Oryctolagus cuniculus: one gene and its partners. The protein of the gene in region 1 interacts with the protein of each later gene in a pairwise test. Links are inferred from orthologs where the notes say so. Each region holds a gene or a part of one and is shown on either strand. Other genes may lie near its edges. The genes, in order: CREB1, TSSK4, POGZ and CRTC1.

Region 1 (3,912 bases):
GCCTTACCTGCTATGCCACAGCACTGGCCCCAAAAAATCCATTTCTTACCCTCGATAAATTTATTTAAGTGGGGCAGTAAATAAGGGGAGGGTCTTCAAAAAGTTTATGGTAAAAATTGAATTATGTTAATTTTTCACAAACTTTTACTTACGTCATTAATGATGGGATAAAGGAAAGTGAGGTGGAACTTCACAGAACCAGATAACTTCAAAAGAAATATAACATTTTCCCTGACCTACTTAAAAAAATTGTTAAGCATTGTTATTAAAAATTACAATGTGGTTCAGAGTGCCTTTCTATTCTAAAATCTGGATGTAGGTTTCTGAGCAGAAAGTTAACTTGAATATACCAAATGCTTCTTAGTGATATTATTTACTGTAATAATTTCTCCTAGATTATGTCTCATAAAATAGCCTACACTGAATTTAGTTTTAGTTTATGTGGTATTAATTAAACTTGTAACAGTAAAATCCATTGGGTTTTAGTTGCCATTACCCAGGGAGGAGCAATACAACTGGCTAACAATGGTACCGATGGGGTACAGGGCCTGCAAACATTAACCATGACCAATGCAGCTGCCACTCAGCCGGGTACTACCATTCTACAGTATGCACAGACCACGGATGGACAACAGATCTTAGTGCCCAGCAACCAAGTTGTTGTTCAAGGTAAGGAAATTCGGAATTCACAAGTATAGTACATTCTGTAAACCATTAAAATTACATAAACCCTCATAAAAAAGTAAGTATCATATTGCAAAGCCTTGTTAAAATGTAGTTAATTTCATTAGAGACAGTATTTTTCATTATTCCAATTGGACCAAAATGTCATGGCATAAAAACAACTATTTTCAGGTTTAAAAAAATAAAACATCTACTTTTAACATCTTTAGAATTAGGGCATAGGAAAAACAAGGTGGGATAGAAGGAAAGACAGTGAAATCAGAAGTTAAGAAGGACATTTTAGATCTAATTGCATGAATCTGCTATGAGACCTTGAGCAAAACCCAGCTTCTCTGGCTCTCATTTTTTTTTTTTTTTTCATGTGTCAAATGAGTATTTTGCTAAATCACTGATAAGAATCTTTGCAGGTTCAGAATTTTGTTACTTATTCAAGAGAAATTTAAATCTTTTTTAAAGTCTTATTTTCATCTATCTGAAAGGCAGAGAGATAGATACTTCCATCTGCTGGTTCACTACCTAAATGCGTGCAATAGCCAGGACTGCATCAGGCTGAAGCCAGGAACCTAGGCTCCATCAGGATCTCCATATCGTTAGTGCAGGCTCTGCCACTTCAGCCATCATCCGCTGCCTCCAAGTATACTTCAACAGGAATATGATCGGAAGCAGAATAGCAGCACTTCAATACGGGATGTCAGAGTCCCAAGCACTGTTCTTCCTGCTGGGCCACAATGCCTACCTCATGTTTTACTATTTTTAAAAACTTTTTTGTTTTCTTTTTATTTCAGGAATCTATAGATAGGAATTAACCAGTTTTCTTTGCATTCATTTGAATAGTTCAAGAATATAATTTATGCCCAATGATACATTTACATGTTGAGAAAATAATAAATTGCTTCTGAAAATATTTGCATTAATAATGCATTTTCCATGTGTCAGGTACTGGCAGTTGTATCCCTTTACCATGGATGATAGTTCTTGAAAATTTTTAAAACACAAGTTAGGGTCCTAATGTATTCACAGAATATGTTCTGTTACTGAACGAATAGTATTTGAAAAAGATAATATTTTGCTTATTGATGGGAATAAAACCCCTTTTCACTTTACATGCAGGTACTCAAAAATTGTAAAGCAGATGTCAGTGAATTTGAATTCTGAACGTCAGTTTGAAGATGGTAACATGTTTAGTATATAAATCTTTTCCACTCAAACTACACATTTTAATTGATATTAATAACTAATATGGATTCTTTTATCAAGACCTTTGAATTCTCTTAAATGATGCTAGGTTTCTTAGGAGAGCATATGAAACTTCTTAGAAGCAGTTTGGCAAATAAGTTACTATGTTTCTTTCACAAATATTGGACCACTTAGTTAGAAAAATAAACTTTCAGTTTATTTAGCCATTATCATTTACATTAAAACACTATGTTTACAATAATATAATTGACCTCAAGTGCTACACTTCATACTTTCAGTTTGTTTTAATTAGAAATTTACAATAGTTGACCATAATGCTTTATTTTCTCTTCCATTTTGCTATTTTATGAAAAAAAAAAAAAAAAAAAAAAAAAAAAAACATGGTCGTTTTTATGTCGTGGCAAGAGTCTGCTTGAAATTTTTTAATATGAATTTACCAAAGTCAAAGGAAGACATTGAGAACTATACTGTGTCTAGGAAGATCATCCAAGCTGTGCCCTACTTCCCTATTAGACTTAAGGTTGGTAAGCTTGTTAACAGAATAGAAGTGCATTCTGGTCAAAAATAAATGTGAGACCCAGCAGACATCAATTAAGACGCCTTTCACTCAAGTGTCTAGACTAATAAATACAATAAATTGGGAATTGTTTCTCAGTAGTGACCCAAAGAGTGCTGATTTCTTTGAACATTTTAGCCTGAATCATCTGTTCCATTTAATTTCCCTTTTAATCCAAAAAGTATGCTTAGATTGGTGATTGACACACACATGTTACTGACACACTGTTTTTCTGTGTCTTATACCTTGTTCACTGTTGTTCTTTTCAGCTGCTTCTGGAGATGTACAAACATACCAGATCCGCACAGCACCCACTAGCACCATTGCCCCTGGAGTTGTTATGGCTTCCTCCCCAGCACTTCCTACACAGCCTGCAGAAGAAGCAGCACGGAAGAGAGAGGTTCGTCTAATGAAGAACAGGTATATATATTTTATTTACTTAGATTGCTGTGGGCAAATCCCTCTTCAAGTTCTGCTGAAAATAGATCTTTACATTGATTTTTTTTCCTGGTAGGATTAATAGATCTTGCTAAAAATCTGTATTTAATAATTAATTTATGAGATTGTAGATCAGTCTTTAATCATAGAATAATTTCATATAATTTCCCCACAGAATATTTAATGCACAATGTTGCTATATTTGTACTTGGCTCCAACCAACTACCTAAGTTATTTAAAAAAAAAAAAATTTATAGAGTTAACAGACTTATAGACAGAGAGAGAGAAAGGTCTTCCTTCTGTTGGTTCACTCCCCAAATGGCTGTCACGGCCGGCACTGTGCCAATCCGAAGCCAGGAGCCAGGTGCCTCTTCCTGGTCTCCCACGCGGGTGCAGGGGACCAAGCACCTGGGCCATCCTCCACTGTCCTCCCAGGCCACAGCAGAGAGCTGGACAGGATGAGGAGCAACCAGGACTAGAACCCGGTGCCCATATGGGATGCCGACGCTGCAGGCGGAGGATTAACCAAGTGAGCCACGGTGCCGGCCCCTGGGAGGTTTTAAAATATATTTATTTGAGGGGCAGAATGACAGAAAGAGGCTCCCAAATGCCCACTACAGCTAGGGCTAGTTGGGTAGAGGTTGAAGAGAGGGTCCAGGAATGCAAGCCAGGTCTCCCAGGGTAGGTGGCAGGAACCCAATTACTTGAGCCTTCACTGCTGCTTCCCAGGATCTGCATTGGCAGGAAGCTGAAGTCAGAAGCGAGAATCAAGAATCCAGCCCATATACTCTAAGTCTTAATTGCTAAACTAAATGCCTGATCAAAAAAAAAATTTTTTTTCATGAATAGTAATCAAGATCAAGCTTCATAAATGTGTATTAATGTTAAATATTAAATTTAAATTGTATTTATATTAATTTGTAATAAAGTAACTATGATGGCCAGTCCTTTTTTTAAAAAAGGGTATTTATTTGTTCATTTATTCAAAAGGCAAAGTAACAGAAAGAAAGATGTTTCATTTACTTATTCACTCCCCA
Region 2 (4,559 bases), on another chromosome or scaffold:
GAATTCAGATCCTTTGTTCTTTGCTCTCCCCTCTAAAATCTTAGCATAAAATCCACATTCCATCATTTCAGACTCGGTCTTGCCTGTTTTTGATGCTTCTTGCATTGTTTCATTGCAGCTACCAAGCAAAACCCTAATCTGGGATTCAGTTATCCATCAGTTTCAAGACACTAATGGAATCTCAACACAGGTTTTGTAAATTTGTATCCTCCAACCCCATTTGGGCCCTTGCTGCCCAGTGATCCTGCTCATTTTCCAAACCACCTCTTTTCCATTCTCCACAACCCATTCTTTTCAAACTTCTGATTTCACCTCTCTTCTAGTCACTGAACCTCCCTTGAGAGTCCAATGGGAGATGCAAGCAAAAACAAAAAGCACCTCAACTGATGTTTGGTCAAGTGCTGTGTCCGACAAAGTGTTAGTGTTGGGAAGCACCTAGAAGGGAGGAGCACCTTAGGTGTGGACAGGCAGTACAGCCTTCCTTAAAAACAGCTGCGATTGGGCCAGTGCTGTGGTGCAGTGGGTTAGCCATGACCTGCAGTACCAGCATCTCACATGGGCACCAGTTCTAGTCCTGGCTGCTCCTCTTCCGATCCAGCTCTCTGCTATGGCCCAGGAAAGCAGTGGAAGATGGCCCAAGTGCTTGGGCCCTTGCACCCACATAGGAGACCTGGAAGAAGCTCCTGCCGTTGTGGCCATTTGGAGAGCGAACCAGTGAATGGAAGACCTTTCTCTCTCTCCCTCTCTCTGTAATGCTACCTCTCGAATAAATAAAATTAAAAAAAAAAAAAAAGAGAGAGACCTGAATTGAGGGAGTGGCATTGAGCTTAGAGAGCCAAGTGTCTTATTTAAGAGATATTAAGAAGTAGAAGAGACATGATTTGGTGATAAATTATGTGTAGGGACTAAGGCAAGAGGAAGGGTCTGAGATGACATTTAGGTGTCTGCGAATAACTAGTGTACAATTTACGGTGAGTTTGAGGTGCCTAGGAGAGACCTGTCCACGTGACGTCCAATGAGCAATTAGGCTGTATCTGGAACTCCAGTGATGGCTGGGACAGAGATGAGATCAGGAGCAGCAAGCACATTGAGGCTCTGGGAGTGATAAGGATAAGGTCTTAACGAAAAAATGTGAAGGTCTGATAGAACCTTTAGGATAAGATTGAGATAAAAGGAGACTGATGAGGCTCCCAAGGAGGCTGAGGATGACCAGAGGCATGGGAGGATATTAAACTAGAGGTCAGGGTTATGGAGAATGCCTGTCAAGGTTAGATCCCTATAGCAGGCTTCAACACCTTGAACTTCTCTGTAATGCCCCTGTGCTTCTCTCATGCTCACTGTAAGTGCAAGGGGCATGAGGTCTCTACTGGCCTGACTGGTCATTTTATCCTAGTACTGCACACTGGCAGAAAGGAGGTGCTCCGTGCACTGGACAGCTGGGGGGAGAGTCTCACCAGATTGCAGAGCATGTCTCTGGGAACGAATCTGTTCCAAACCACACTGCATTTTCAAGCTTCGTGGCCAGTGACAGAAGGTGGATTGTGATGTGGATGGAACATGAAACCTTGGTAAGTTCCGTAACCAAGGAGGAAGAAGTACCAACAGCCAGTGGAGACCGAAAGAACTGCTCCTCCTATCCCCCTTCAAGTTGCTAGCAGAGGGCTGGGCCCAGCATCCCAGACTTAATGTGACTCCATAGGCAAGCATCCAGAGACCAGCTTCACTTTGGTACCCCGGCCTTCAGTGGCTAGAGGTGCTGGCCTTGGAGTAGACAGGAGGCTTCCAGGTAGCCAAGCTCCTTGCTCTCAGCAAGCCCGGCAGTATGGGGAAGGGAGATGCGGTGGAGGCGGCGGCAGCACCAGCCACTCCGGCTTACCGATCTGTCATGGAGGAGTATGGCTATGAGGTGGGCAAGGTCATTGGCAATGGCTCCTACGGGACAGTGTACGAGGCTTATTACACAAAGCAGAAGGTCATGGTGGCCGTCAAGATCATCTCAAAGAAGAAGGCCTCCGAGGATTATCTAAACAAGTTCCTGCCCCGTGAGATACAGGTTGGAGAGTGCTGGGAGAGGGAGTGGCAGTTTACTAAGCTGCATGAGGTTTTTCAGAGGGGATGTGGTTAGGAAGTGGTGGGGCCACCCCCTCCCCCCAAACTGGGACTGGGCATCTGACTCAGCAGCTAGGAAAATTAATGTCAACTCAACCGCTCTTGCCTACCCACTCACCTCCAGCTCTCCCCAGAGTGCAAAACAAGGTCTACCTCCAGGCAGCAGCCCTGTGCTGCAGAGGTCCAGTAGCAGTGGGCTGGGAGTGCAGCCAGGGCCCACCCTTCTCGGGTTTGATGGGTGCCTCTTCTGGGGGCAGGTAATGAAAGTCTTGCGGCACAAGTACCTCATCAACTTCTATCAGGCCATCGAGACCACGTCCCGCGTGTACATCATCCTGGAGCTGGCGCAAGGTGGAGACGTCCTCGAGTGGATCCAGCGCTATGGGGCCTGCTCTGAGCCCCTTGCTGGCAAGTGGTTCTCCCAGATGGCCCTGGGCATCGCCTACCTGCACAGCAAGGGCATCGTGCACCGGTGAGGGCGCTGCCACTCGGACGGGGGCCTTCAGGCGCTCAGGGGGCTTTCCTGTACAGCTTCTGCTTTCTGCCTTTTCCTCCTTTGCACTTTCCTCATTATCCAGGTCCATGCATCCACTCTATTTCAATCCTCTGGTCAAGGACACTTACATAAAGTGCCCAGTGTGTGCAGACCCCTTTATGAAATGCAGTAGTGAGACCCCAGTGGTCCTCAAGGACCTCATAACACCTTGGCTCTCTCCTCCTGACACTGGTCTCATAATGGCGTCTCCCTCCCACCTGGCCCATCCTCAACCTTAGCCTCCATCCTTCAGCTCCCGGTCTAATACAAAGCCCTCTCCCCAGCCTGACCCCCAGCCTTTCTGCTGCTGGTAGGGACTTAAAGTTGGAGAACTTGTTGTTGGACAAGCGAGAGAATGTGAAGATATCGGACTTTGGCTTCGCCAAGATGGTGCCTCCTAACCAGCCTGCGCGTAGTAGCTCTTCTTACCGCCAAATGAACTGCTTTTCCCACCTCAGCCAGACCTACTGTGGCAGCTTTGCATACGCCTGCCCCGAGATCTTGCTAGGCTTGCCCTACAACCCTTTCCTGTCGGACACCTGGAGCATGGGAGTCATCCTCTATACTCTGGTGGTCGCCCGTCTGCCCTTCGATGACACCAACCTCAAGAAGCTGCTCAAGGAGACTCAGAAGGAGGTCTCTTTCCCGCAGAACAACGCCATCTCCCAGGAGTGCAAGGTGCTGGCTCCCCCAGGAGAGCTGAAGCCTTAGAGATGACCCATGGGGAGGGGCGAATTCCCAAGCTAGGCCACCCAGCCCTGGGCGAGCCAGCCCATACTCTTGTCCCTGGGGAGGGCTTATAGGGCCATTCACGGGGCCCCATCCTTAAGCAGATTCCCACTACTATCCCTTTAGGCTAGGAGGGGCTTGTGCAAAGGATTTCCCCAAGAATTCCTCCCTCCCCTTTCCAGGGAGCTGAATACTTGGCTTACCAGGATAAAACCAGGGCCACACCCCTTTCACTAAAGTAGCATAGGCGCTACCTTGTATTCTCTTTGGGTCCAGCTGCTTACTGTGTGGCACAGTGCAGGGTAAGCTTAGCCAGGACCTTTCTTTCTCCTGCCCTAGAACCTAGTCCTTCATATGCTATGCCAAGCGGCCAAGCGTGCCACCATCCTGGACATCCTCAAGGATCCCTGGGTGCTCAAGTTCCAGCCTGAGCAACCCACCAATGAGATCAGGCTGCTAGAGGCCATGTGCCAGCCCACCACCAGCAGCACCAGCAATCGGCAGCAATCCTTGGGCAACACAACCTGAAAATGGTTGCTGGGAGGGGAGGGAAGGAAAGAAGGGAGGGACTGAGAGAGGGGCAAAGCAGGAGGGTCCAGGGCTAAAAATCTTTTATACCGTAAATAAATCTGATTTAGTTTCATCAGCTATGTTCAAAGATATTCTTTGCTCAAGGGAACCTTAGTGGGGAATACTGCTGTGGGTACAAGGTGGATTTCTGTCCGGAGCCTGTCACCAGTCCACCTTGACACCTGTGTAAATCAGTGTGATTCCACCTGCGGCTCGTGGGGTGGGGCGCTCAGATGAACACTCTGGGGAAGCTTTCTTTTTCTGACTACGTCTTTGTGCTCTCTGAACATCCATGCAGTGGGGGAAAGCCCTGCTCGCTCCACCTGAGGCTCTGCTTGTCTGCAGTCCAAAGTGATGGGCTTTTATTTTTTGTTTTGTTAAAGATTTACTTATTTGAAAGGCAGAGTGACACAGTGACAAAGAGACAGATCTCAATCTTCTGGGTCACTTCCCTGATGGTTGCTACACCCGGGGCTTGGCCAGGCCTAAGCCAGGAGCTAGGAGCTCTATTTAGGCCTTCCACATAGGTGGTAGGAGCCCAGGTATTAGCGTCACCACGTGCAGGAACCTGGATCAGAGGGATGGAGTAGCTGAGACTTGAACCAGGCACTCCGAT
Region 3 (4,490 bases), on another chromosome or scaffold:
TCCCTTTAAGGCGACGGCGCCTTCCTCGGGTCAGACTACCGGCGGCGACGACCACGGGAGGTGAGTGAGCGAGCGAGCCTTCGCTCTTCCCCACCCCCTTCTCCCGGGGGTTCCGTTATCTTTTCGCTCGGCGAGGCGTTCGGCGCCAGACAATGAGAGGGGGGATGGGGCGGGCGGGCGCGCGCGCACGGGGTGGGGGCGGGGACCGGGGGCGCGCGCCCGCGCCCTCCGCGAGTGGCGGCGGTCGCGCGCGGCAGTGGCGGCCGTGGGGCGCGGCGCGCGAGCGCGTGTGTGCGGTGGGAGCGCCCTGGCCGCGGGAGCTGCGCGGCGGGCCGGCGGCGGCGGAGGGGGCCCCTGCCTGCCTGCCTGCCGCCCCCGCCCCCCGGCGCCGGCCGCGGCGCGCGCGCGCACTCGCGCCCCACGGCCCCGCACACACCCGACGTCCACACGCACGCCCGGCGCGGGGCGTCTCGGAGGAGTGGGCGGCGCGGGCGCCGGCGCTGGCGGCCCGCTGGGGAGGGGCGGGGGCGAGGGGGCGAGGCCGCGGCGGGGCAGCGTCTGCCGGGGGTGCCCGCGCCGCCCCGCCCCCGCCCGGGGAAGGAGCGGGGCGCCCGTTTGGAGCGGGAGGAGGAGAAGGATTGCTTGGGCGATCCCTTGTGTTATGTAACCCCCGCTCGCTCTGGTGCGCGGCGGCTGCTCCGCGAAGTCTGCTCGCCTGGCCCCAGGCTGCAGTGGGGGGACCGCGCCGTGATTTATAAAATGGGATGGGGCGGAGAAGCTCTCTTTTCTGGGGATGATGATGATGATGTCCTGCCGCGGTGGGCGCCATGTTTATCCCGGGGACTACTTTCTCTAGCCCTCTGCACCTACTACTGGAAAGGAGTCCTGTCATCGATCCACCTGCTTTTCCTCCTTTCTGCGTCTTGTCCTGATTTCCTCCCGCGGCAGATGTGGGATTCCCCGCACACTGTTAGTGAGATAACACTGGGCATTCCTCGGCTCACTTGTCAGAGCTGAAGAATCTTGTAAGTCGTTGGGCCCAGTCTCGTTTTACTCGAGATGGAAATTAAGATGCAGTTGTACCAGTTGCTGTCTCTGAACCGTGCGGGCGGTAGCCGGGTCACCACGCTCTCTGAGACACTTCCCTCCACAGCGCGGAACTCCACAGTTGGAAAGGGATTTTCCCGACTAGATGGGGGGACCCGGGAGGGCTGGGCGTGGGGGGGCTGCTGCTTGACGAACAACAGCGAGACGGGTTGCTCTGGGACTGGGAGCCTGGATTCTGAATTCCAAGCTGCTTCACCTCGGGGTGCGTGAAAGGTGCCTCGGAGACCAGGAAAGTGCGGTGTTGGGGGCCTCCTCCCTGGAATTCCTGTGGGTAGGGTAGGCAGAGTTTGCTGTTTCTAGGTCTTAAAGGCAGTCCCCGTTGAGGGTTACTGGTCTGATGTCAAGATGCTGAAGACAGTCGTGAAAACGGGTGAATGCTAGTCTGCGCTCTTCCTGAAGTGTGTTGATGGTGTAGCTCCCAACTAAAAGAGTAGAAGGAACTCCTGGCGATGAGCAGGATTTTGTGAGTTTTTCACTCATCTGGAACTAGTGGTGCGGTCTAGGAAAGAGGTTCTCAAAGTGCGATCCTCTGGGGATACCCCCTCCGAGCTTCGCTGGGGAGTCTTGAGGTCATAACTTTTCAAAATCTAAGATTTTTTTCTGATGTTCGCACTGATAGCCCAAAAGCAATGCTAGGTAAAACTATTGTTGGTGTCTTACCATCGAGTAAGGCGATGGTACCAGGCTGCTGTACAGATGGTCCTTGATGAACCAGTAACTGATTAACTCTGAGCTGTTTTTGAGACTTGGAAGATGGTCTGTTGATGTTACTAAGTTTTTCTTTTCCTTTTTTTTTTTTTTTTTTTTTCTTTTTAATTTATTTGAAAGGTAGGATTGTCAGGCGGGAAGATAGAGGTATCTTCCATCCACTGTTTCTACTTCTCAAATGGCCACAACATCAGCTGGGAATGGGCCAGGAGCCAGAAACTTTGTTCAGGGTTTTCCACATGGGTAACAGGAACTCAAGTACCTGGGCCATTAGCTGCTGCTTCCCAGGTGCGTTGACAGGAAGCTGGGTCAGAAGTGGAGTATCAGGCACTCTGATACGGGATGGAGGTGTCCCAAGCAGTGGCTTAACCATTCGCCACAGCACTCACCTCACTGTTGAGATGTTTTCAAGTATTACTACAAATCTCAGCTTCTGAGTACACCTGTTAAATTTTTTTTGAGAATCTCTGATGACATTATCAGCTTGCTTTCTTTCTTTCTTTGTTTTAAGATTTATGTATTTATTTGAAAGTCAGAGTTACACAGAGGAGAGAGAGAGAGGTCTTCCATTTGATGGTTCACTCCCCAGATGGCCGCAACTGCCGGAGCTGTGCCGATCCGGAGCCAGGAGCTTCTTCTGGGTCTCTCACTTGGGTGCAGGGGCCCAAGGTCTTGGGCCATCTTCTGCTGCTTTCCCAGGCCATAGCAGAGAGCTGGATTGGAAGAGGAGCAGCCAGGACTAGAACTGGCGCCCATATGGGATGCTGGCGCTTCAGGCCAGGGCGTTAACCTGCTGCACCACAGCGTAGGCCCTGAAATGATCAGTTTTCATAAAGCATTTATGCTGCCTACCGAAGTATGATTGTTGTCAAAAGGAAAAGCATTTGTGATGTTGTTTTGTGAGCTGTTTATTTCCTGGAATGGCATTTTTACTTGAAATAACGACTGACAAACTACTGTTTTTCACATTGAGTATTTGAAGATACTTCTTGAAAGTGAATGAAGTAAGCTTATCATTTATATGAAAGCAATTGACCATATTTGTTACCAGTGATAAATTTGAATGGAAGATAGAATTTTTCAAAAGTTGACTGCATCCCAGTACCTGAAAGACTTTGCTTACATTATTAGTGATTAACAATTGTGATTTTTAAAAAATATTACATAATGAAATGTGTCATTTGGAAGATGGCTTAACTCAGTAAATGCACATTTTTTGTACATATTTTCCAAATGACCAGTGTATGATGCTGCAGAATTACAAGAGTAATTCAAAATATGAAATATGGCAATGAATAAATATGTATGTATATTTTATTTTTTGAAACAGACAACTTCCATCCACTGGTTCACTCCCTAACTACCTGCAACAGCCCGGGATGGGTCCCATGTTGGTGGCAGGGACCTAACTATTTGAACCGTCACCTAGTACTTTCCATGGTGCATATTAGCAGGAAGATGGAATTGGAAGTGGAGCCAGGGACTCAAACCTAGGCACTCTTGATATGGAATGCAGGTGTCCTAAGCAAGAGGCGGCTTAACTGCAGCACGAAACACCTATCCCTATAGCCGTGGATTTTAATGTAGCAATGTATGAAAATTTCACCAATAGGGTTTCAGATTCTAAGATGCAGATATCCTTTGAGAAACTATCATTTGTTCAGTTCTAGTGTTTATAAATAGTGTTATTGTTTAGTCATCTGAAAAGGTTATTAAAATACTCCCTGGGGCCAGTGTTGTGGCATAGCTGGTTAGACTGCTGCCTGTGACAATGGCATCCCATATGGGCACCAGTTAATCTGTTGGCTGCTCTGCTTTGAGGGCAGTGGAAGATGGCCCAAGTGCTTGAGTCCCACACCCGCATGGGAGACCTGGAGGAAGTTCCTGGCTTTAGCCTGGCCCAGCCCTGGCTGTTGTGGCCATTCGGGGAGTGGACCAGCTGGGGAAGATCTCTCTGTCTCTCCCTTTTCTTCTGTAACTCTGGCTTTCAAATAAATGAATAAATCTGAAAGAATATAATTCATCTCCCCTTTTCCACTAGATATCCTGTACAAGTCCAGAGTTTTGTTCTGTACTTAACCAAAACATCTTGCGGCAGACCAGATGCAGAAGCAGCCGTGAGAATCCATCTGTCATTTATTTATTTATTTGAGAGGCAGAGAGAAAAATGGAGCTGCCATAAAAAGTTATTTTATTCCCCAGATGCCCACAACAGCCAAGACTTGGGCCAAAACTGAGAGCTGGGAACTCAGTCCAGGTTTTCCATGTGGGTTACAGAAACCCAGTTAATGTGAGCCATCACCACTGCCTCCCTGGGTCCACACCAGCAGGAAGTGGGAATCAGGATCTGGAGCTCAGTATTGAACCCAGGAACTCTGGAATGGGACTTGGGCATCCTAACTAGCATCCTAACTATACCCACCCCCAATGATTTTTTTTTTTTTTTTCCACAGGCAGAGGGGACAGAGAGAAAGGTCTTCCTTTGCCGTTGGTTCACCCTCCAATGGCTGCCGCTGCCGGCGCACTGCGCTGATCCGAAGGCAGGAGCCAGGTGCTTCTCCTGGTCTCCCATGGGGTGCAGGGCCCAAGCACTTGGGCCATCCTCCACTGCACTCCCGAGCCACAGCAGAGAGCTGGCCTGGAAGAGGGGCAACCAGGACAGAATCCGGCACCCC
Region 4 (4,665 bases), on another chromosome or scaffold:
CACTCCCCTGAAGTCGCACCCGTGCAGCCCCAGCCACAGCCCAGAGCCCCCTGTCCCCAGCCTGGGACCCGCTCACCTGGCTGGTCAGGTGTGCCCCTCACCACCAGGGAGCCATCCACACTCACACGTGCACACACTCACACGTGCCGGCCTCTGGCACTCACGGGACAGGTGCAGCTGCAGCCTGAGCCACACCTCACCTGTCTGCAGGTGCACAGGAACCCCTGGTGTCCAGCGTGGGGGGAGGCAGGAGCCACGGCCGCAGCCCCCAAGGCAGGGCAGCCTGCGCCCGGCGGTACGGGTGCACCTGCCACAGCCGGTGGGGGGAGGTGCTGGCCCTGGCCCTGGCACAGCCACGCAGGACACTGGAGCGACCCACGCAGGGCAGCGCTCCCACCTCCCCGCCCTCCTCGGACCCAAGGCTTCCCAGCGCCGGCCACGGCTGCCAGCCACGGCCGGGCCCTGTGCGAGGTCACGCGGCGCCGGGCGGTGTCCCTGACCTTCACTCGCAAGACGCCGGCAGGGGGCTGCGGGGGCCGCAGCTGCTTGGACGCTGCTGGGGAAGCCCGCCTCCCACATGGGAGGGCCCAGGTTCGAATCCCAGCGCTGCTCCCTGCTGATGCCCACCCTGGAGGCAGCAGGGGACCAGGGCTCGAGCGCTTGGGCCCCCGCCACCCACGCGGGAGACCTGCTCCGAGCTCCTGGCTCCCGGCTTCCACCTGGGAAGGGAAGCAACAGACGGGAGTGCTCGGTCTCTCTCTCCAACAAATAAATAAATAAACAGATGCTATGTTTTGGCATCCTCCGGTCAGACCGGATGGCCCAGAGTCCTCTGGGGGCAGTCACCGCCCAGGGGATAACCCTCTGGGCCTAAAGATTCACCTTCTGTTGGTTCCGCCCATGGCCACGATCAGGTTACAGGAAGGCTACGGGGCGAGGGGAGGGGGCCCAGGGCCAGACGTGGCCATCGGCGGAGTACTACTCAGCCAGGACAAGGGCTGAGGCCCGGCACCTGCTACGGCGCGGAGGGACCCGGAGAACCTGACGCCGACTGAGACCGCGTACAGGGGCCGCGCTGTGCCGCAGCGGCTTCCGGGGACGCAGGTTCGAGTCCCGGCCGCTCCACTTCCAGTCCCGCTCCCTGCTGTGGCCTGGGAAAGCAGCAGCGATGGCCGAGCCCTGGGGCCCCTGCACCTGCGTGGGAGACCCGGATGGAGCTCCTGGCTTCAGCCTGGTCCAGCCCCGGCCGCTGCGGCCGTTTGGGGAGTGACCCAGCAGATGGAGGACCGGCCATTTGGGGAGTGACCCAGCGGATGGAGGACCTCTCCCTCTCCCTCTCCCTCTCCCTCTATCTCTCTCTCTCAACTCTGCCTTTCATGTAAAGAAATCAAAAACAAAGACACAGAACTGTACCCTTTAAATAAACAGACAACGTAAGTGAACGAGATCTTAATGAAGTTGCTATTTTATTTTTTTAATCTTATTTGACAGGCAGAGAGAGAGAGAGGGAGAGAGAGGGAGGGAGGTGGCCCATCTGCGGGTTCACTCCCCAAGTGCCTGCAGCAGCTGGGGCCGGGCCGGGCCGGGCCGGCCGAAGCCAGGAGCCCGGAGCTCCACCTGGGTCCCCCGTGTGGGCGGCAGGGGCTCGGGTCCTGGAGCCGTCACCGCAGCCTCCCAGGAAGCCGGGGCGGCAGAGCTGGGGCCCCAAAGCCGGGCATCGGACACGGGACGCAGCCGCCCGGGCTCAGCCCCTCACAGAGACCTCCTTCCACGACCACCCAGGCCCAGCCCACGCAGGGACCGGACCACGAACCGCGCGTGGCCCCTCGCTCGCTTCCGGTCAGGCTGCCAACACCCGACACTGCCTGTCGGCCAGCCAGGGGGCGCACAGGTCCCGCCGGGAGCCCCGGCCCGGGGCACACGTTCCTTCATTCATTCATTCATTCGGTCACTCATTCATTCATTCGCCAGCAGCCTCTTGGTCGGCAGCAGCCGTGGCCGCCGGGAACATGCGCACCCTAACCCTGAGGTCGCAGCCCCGGCTCGGACCCGCGACCATTCACAAAACGCCGGGACCCGGGGTCCGTCGGGACCGGGGTGGGGGCGTGGGGTCAGTCGGGAGGTCAGGCCTGGGGTCACGCCCCGGCGGGAGGGGCGGGGTGCCTGCAGCTCCCACCCACACCTGCGTCCCCCCAGGCCCCGCGGAGATCCCCCACCTCGGGTCGCCTCCCTGCCCCGGGAGCCAGGTCTTGCTCCATACGCCGGACAGCGAAAGAAGCGGAGACCCCAGGCCCCTGGCCGGAGCAGGGCCACAGGGGACAGCTGGGCCCCCAGCCCCAGCAGCCAGCTCACGGGACACACCCGAGCACCCCTGGGCCGCCCGCCCGATCCCCGCGTGTGGCCAGCGGTCCCCCGCCCACCGGGAGGCCCAGCCCCAGGACCCGGCCCCTCGGGCCCCCGACCCCAGGCGGCCCCACGGAGGTCTGCCAGCAGGGACACCTGCTCCTGCCCCCAGCACCCAGGGAGGCGGCGCCGCGGGAGCGCTCGGCTGCAGCCAGGTACCGGGCGGGATGCAGCACCTGGCTGGCGCCGGCCCCCCGCGCCGGTCCCAGCGACGCCCCGGCACCTGCTCCCTGCCGGCAGCGGCCCCCTCGCCCCCCGGGCGGCGACGGTGCGGGGGCACCCGTGCCCTCACGGGGGCGGCGAGGCGCGCACACCTGGCCTGTCCAGGTGGCGAGGGGGCGGGGACACCTGTGCCCCTCAGCTACGGAGGATGTGGGGGCCCCCGTCCCGCCCACGGCGCCCGGAGCCTGGGGGACACCTGGCCCTCCACCCCGGGCCGGCGGCCCCGCCCCCGCGCGCGCCCCCGCCGCGTGCACGCGCCCCTCCCTCCCTCGGCCCGCGGGGTCGGTGCCCGGCAGCCCCCCTCACCCGCGCGGCCCGCGTCAGGCTCAGGTCTTTCATGACCTCCTCGAAGGCCGCCGTCTCCTCTGCCTGCTTCTGGTTGTGCAGCGCGATCTTCTCGCTGAATTTCCGCGGATTGTTCGAAGTCGCCATCTTCTCGCCGCCGCCGCCGCCGCCGCCGCCGCCGCCACCGCCGCCTCCTCCTCCTCCTCCTCCTCCTCCGCCTCCTCGCCCCCCCACCCGCCGGCACCACCGCGCAGGCGCCGCTCGGGCCCGCGGGCGGCGCGCAGGACGCAGGCGCGGCCGCGGTCGGGAGCGCGGCGCAGGCGCAGCGCAGCCGGCGCGAGGCGCGGGGGCGAAGGCGCATGCGCGCGCCCGGGAGGCGCGCTCGGAGCGCCAGGAGGGCAGGGGCGCGCGAGTGGGAGCCTCCGCGCAGGCGCAGTGAGTCCCCCGCCGGGCCCGCTACCTAGCGGATGCCTGGTGATGGTGCGGGTCCAAGGTGTTGGCCTGCCGTGCATGCGTTGAGCACCTGCTGTATACCAAGGACAGCTGGGCAGAGGCGGGAACAGTGGCTCCAGTGCTGGGGTCCCCGGGAGCCCGGGTCGGAGCGCCTGGCTCCTGGCGCGTGGCTCCAGGCTGGCCCAGCCCTGGCTGCTGTGGCCTTTTCCCAGGCCCCTGAAGGTGGGGTGTGGGTGTCCCAGTGCCTGGAAGCTTCTGGAGGTCAGGCGTGGGGCCGGCTGGTTCTCACCTCCGACCCCGAGGGGTCACGGAGGAATAGGGGGCAGCAGGTGCTCCCGGCGAGGCCCGCCCCAGAGCCAGGGGAGCCCCGCCCCCGGCCTCAATGGGGTGCAGTGGGCGGAGCTCGGCGCCTCCCCGCCCCACACCGGGATCTGTGGACCCGGCAAATGCCCGGCCCTCCCACTCGCTCGCTTACACCTGCCCAGAGCCAGCTTCCGGACACGGGGAGATGGGGTGCAGGGGGTTTGGGGGCCCCCAGATGCCCGCAGGGCGCCCGCGGCCGGCCTGAAACTGGACCCGCCCCCAACCCTGGCCGTGGGTCAGAGGAAGCCGCCGGCCTGGTGTCGGCCGCGGGGCTGGACAGGGGGCAGCCGCCCCGGGCTTGGGGCAGGGGGAGGCCACGGCCTCGGGGGTCCCGGGCAGCGCCCGGCCCTGTGCCTCCCGGCCTCCTCTCCCTGAATGGAAGCCACGCGTGCTCTTCGTGGTCCTGGGCCAATCTCAGGCTCACATCGAACTTAGGGGACAGGTCCCCCCTCCCCAGGGGCCCGCGGACCCCTGCCCTCAGCAGCCGGCATTCCAGTCTTCCAGAAGTTTCCACGCCCACATCTTTGCCTGGGTCGCTCTCCTCCACCGTCTCATCTTTTAAATTTATTTATTTATTTATTTATTTCAAAGGCAGAGTTACAGAGAGACAGAGAGAGAGAGAGAGAGAGAGAGAGGTCCTCCATCCGCTGGTTCACTCCCCAGATGGCCACAATGGCCAGAGCTGTGCTGATCCGGAGCCAGGAGCTTCTTCCAGGTCTCCCACGCAGGTGCAGGGGCCCAAGGACTTAGGCCATCCTCCACTGCTTTCCCAGGCCATAGCAGAGAGCTGGACTGGAAGCGGAGCAGCCGAGACTCGAACTGGCACCCCTATGGGATGCCGGCACTGCAGGCAGCCACTATACCAGCTACGCCGCAGCGTCGGTCCAGCAGCGCCCCGCGGCAGGGCCTCCCACTGCTGCTGGGGTCCCGGCTGCGTGA

The links.
Region 2: the proteins of CREB1 (region 1) and TSSK4 interact in binary tests that used the Homo sapiens proteins (3 or more experiments, as listed by UniProt). The link is inferred for Oryctolagus cuniculus from reciprocal best matches to the Homo sapiens genes CREB1 and TSSK4.
Region 3: the proteins of CREB1 (region 1) and POGZ interact in a two-hybrid assay, tested with the Homo sapiens proteins (2 studies listed by BioGRID and IntAct). The link is inferred for Oryctolagus cuniculus from reciprocal best matches to the Homo sapiens genes CREB1 and POGZ.
Region 4: the proteins of CREB1 (region 1) and CRTC1 interact in binary tests that used the Homo sapiens proteins (3 or more experiments, as listed by UniProt). The link is inferred for Oryctolagus cuniculus from reciprocal best matches to the Homo sapiens genes CREB1 and CRTC1.

The regions. Positions count from the first base shown.
Region 1 is NC_091434.1:32,216,084-32,219,995, reverse strand, and holds part of CREB1 (cyclic AMP-responsive element-binding protein 1), read left to right. Parts: intron 1-486; coding exon 487-669; intron 670-1,794; exon of another isoform or gene 1,795-1,816; coding exon of another isoform or gene 1,817-1,856; intron 1,857-2,706; coding exon 2,707-2,857; intron 2,858-3,912.
Region 2 is NC_091443.1:50,994,818-50,999,376, reverse strand, and holds TSSK4 (testis-specific serine/threonine-protein kinase 4), read left to right. Parts: upstream 1-1,677; 5' UTR 1,678-1,822; coding exon 1,823-2,053; intron 2,054-2,366; coding exon 2,367-2,581; intron 2,582-2,928; coding exon 2,929-3,322; intron 3,323-3,712; coding exon 3,713-3,901; 3' UTR 3,902-4,019; downstream 4,020-4,559. UniProt on the Homo sapiens protein: Serine/threonine kinase which is involved in male germ cell development and in mature sperm function. May be involved in the Cre/Creb signaling pathway. Phosphorylates CREB1 on 'Ser-133' in vitro and can stimulate Cre/Creb pathway in cells.
Region 3 is NC_091438.1:46,627,643-46,632,132, forward strand, and holds the start of POGZ (pogo transposable element with ZNF domain), read left to right. Parts: upstream 1-1,424; 5' UTR 1,425-1,556; coding exon 1,557-1,570; intron 1,571-1,939; exon of another isoform or gene 1,940-2,103; intron 2,104-4,490. UniProt on the Homo sapiens protein: Plays a role in mitotic cell cycle progression and is involved in kinetochore assembly and mitotic sister chromatid cohesion.
Region 4 is NC_091447.1:65,767,945-65,772,609, reverse strand, and holds the start of CRTC1 (CREB-regulated transcription coactivator 1), read right to left. Parts: upstream 3,154-4,665; 5' UTR 3,058-3,153; coding exon 2,932-3,057; intron 1-2,931. UniProt on the Homo sapiens protein: Transcriptional coactivator for CREB1 which activates transcription through both consensus and variant cAMP response element (CRE) sites.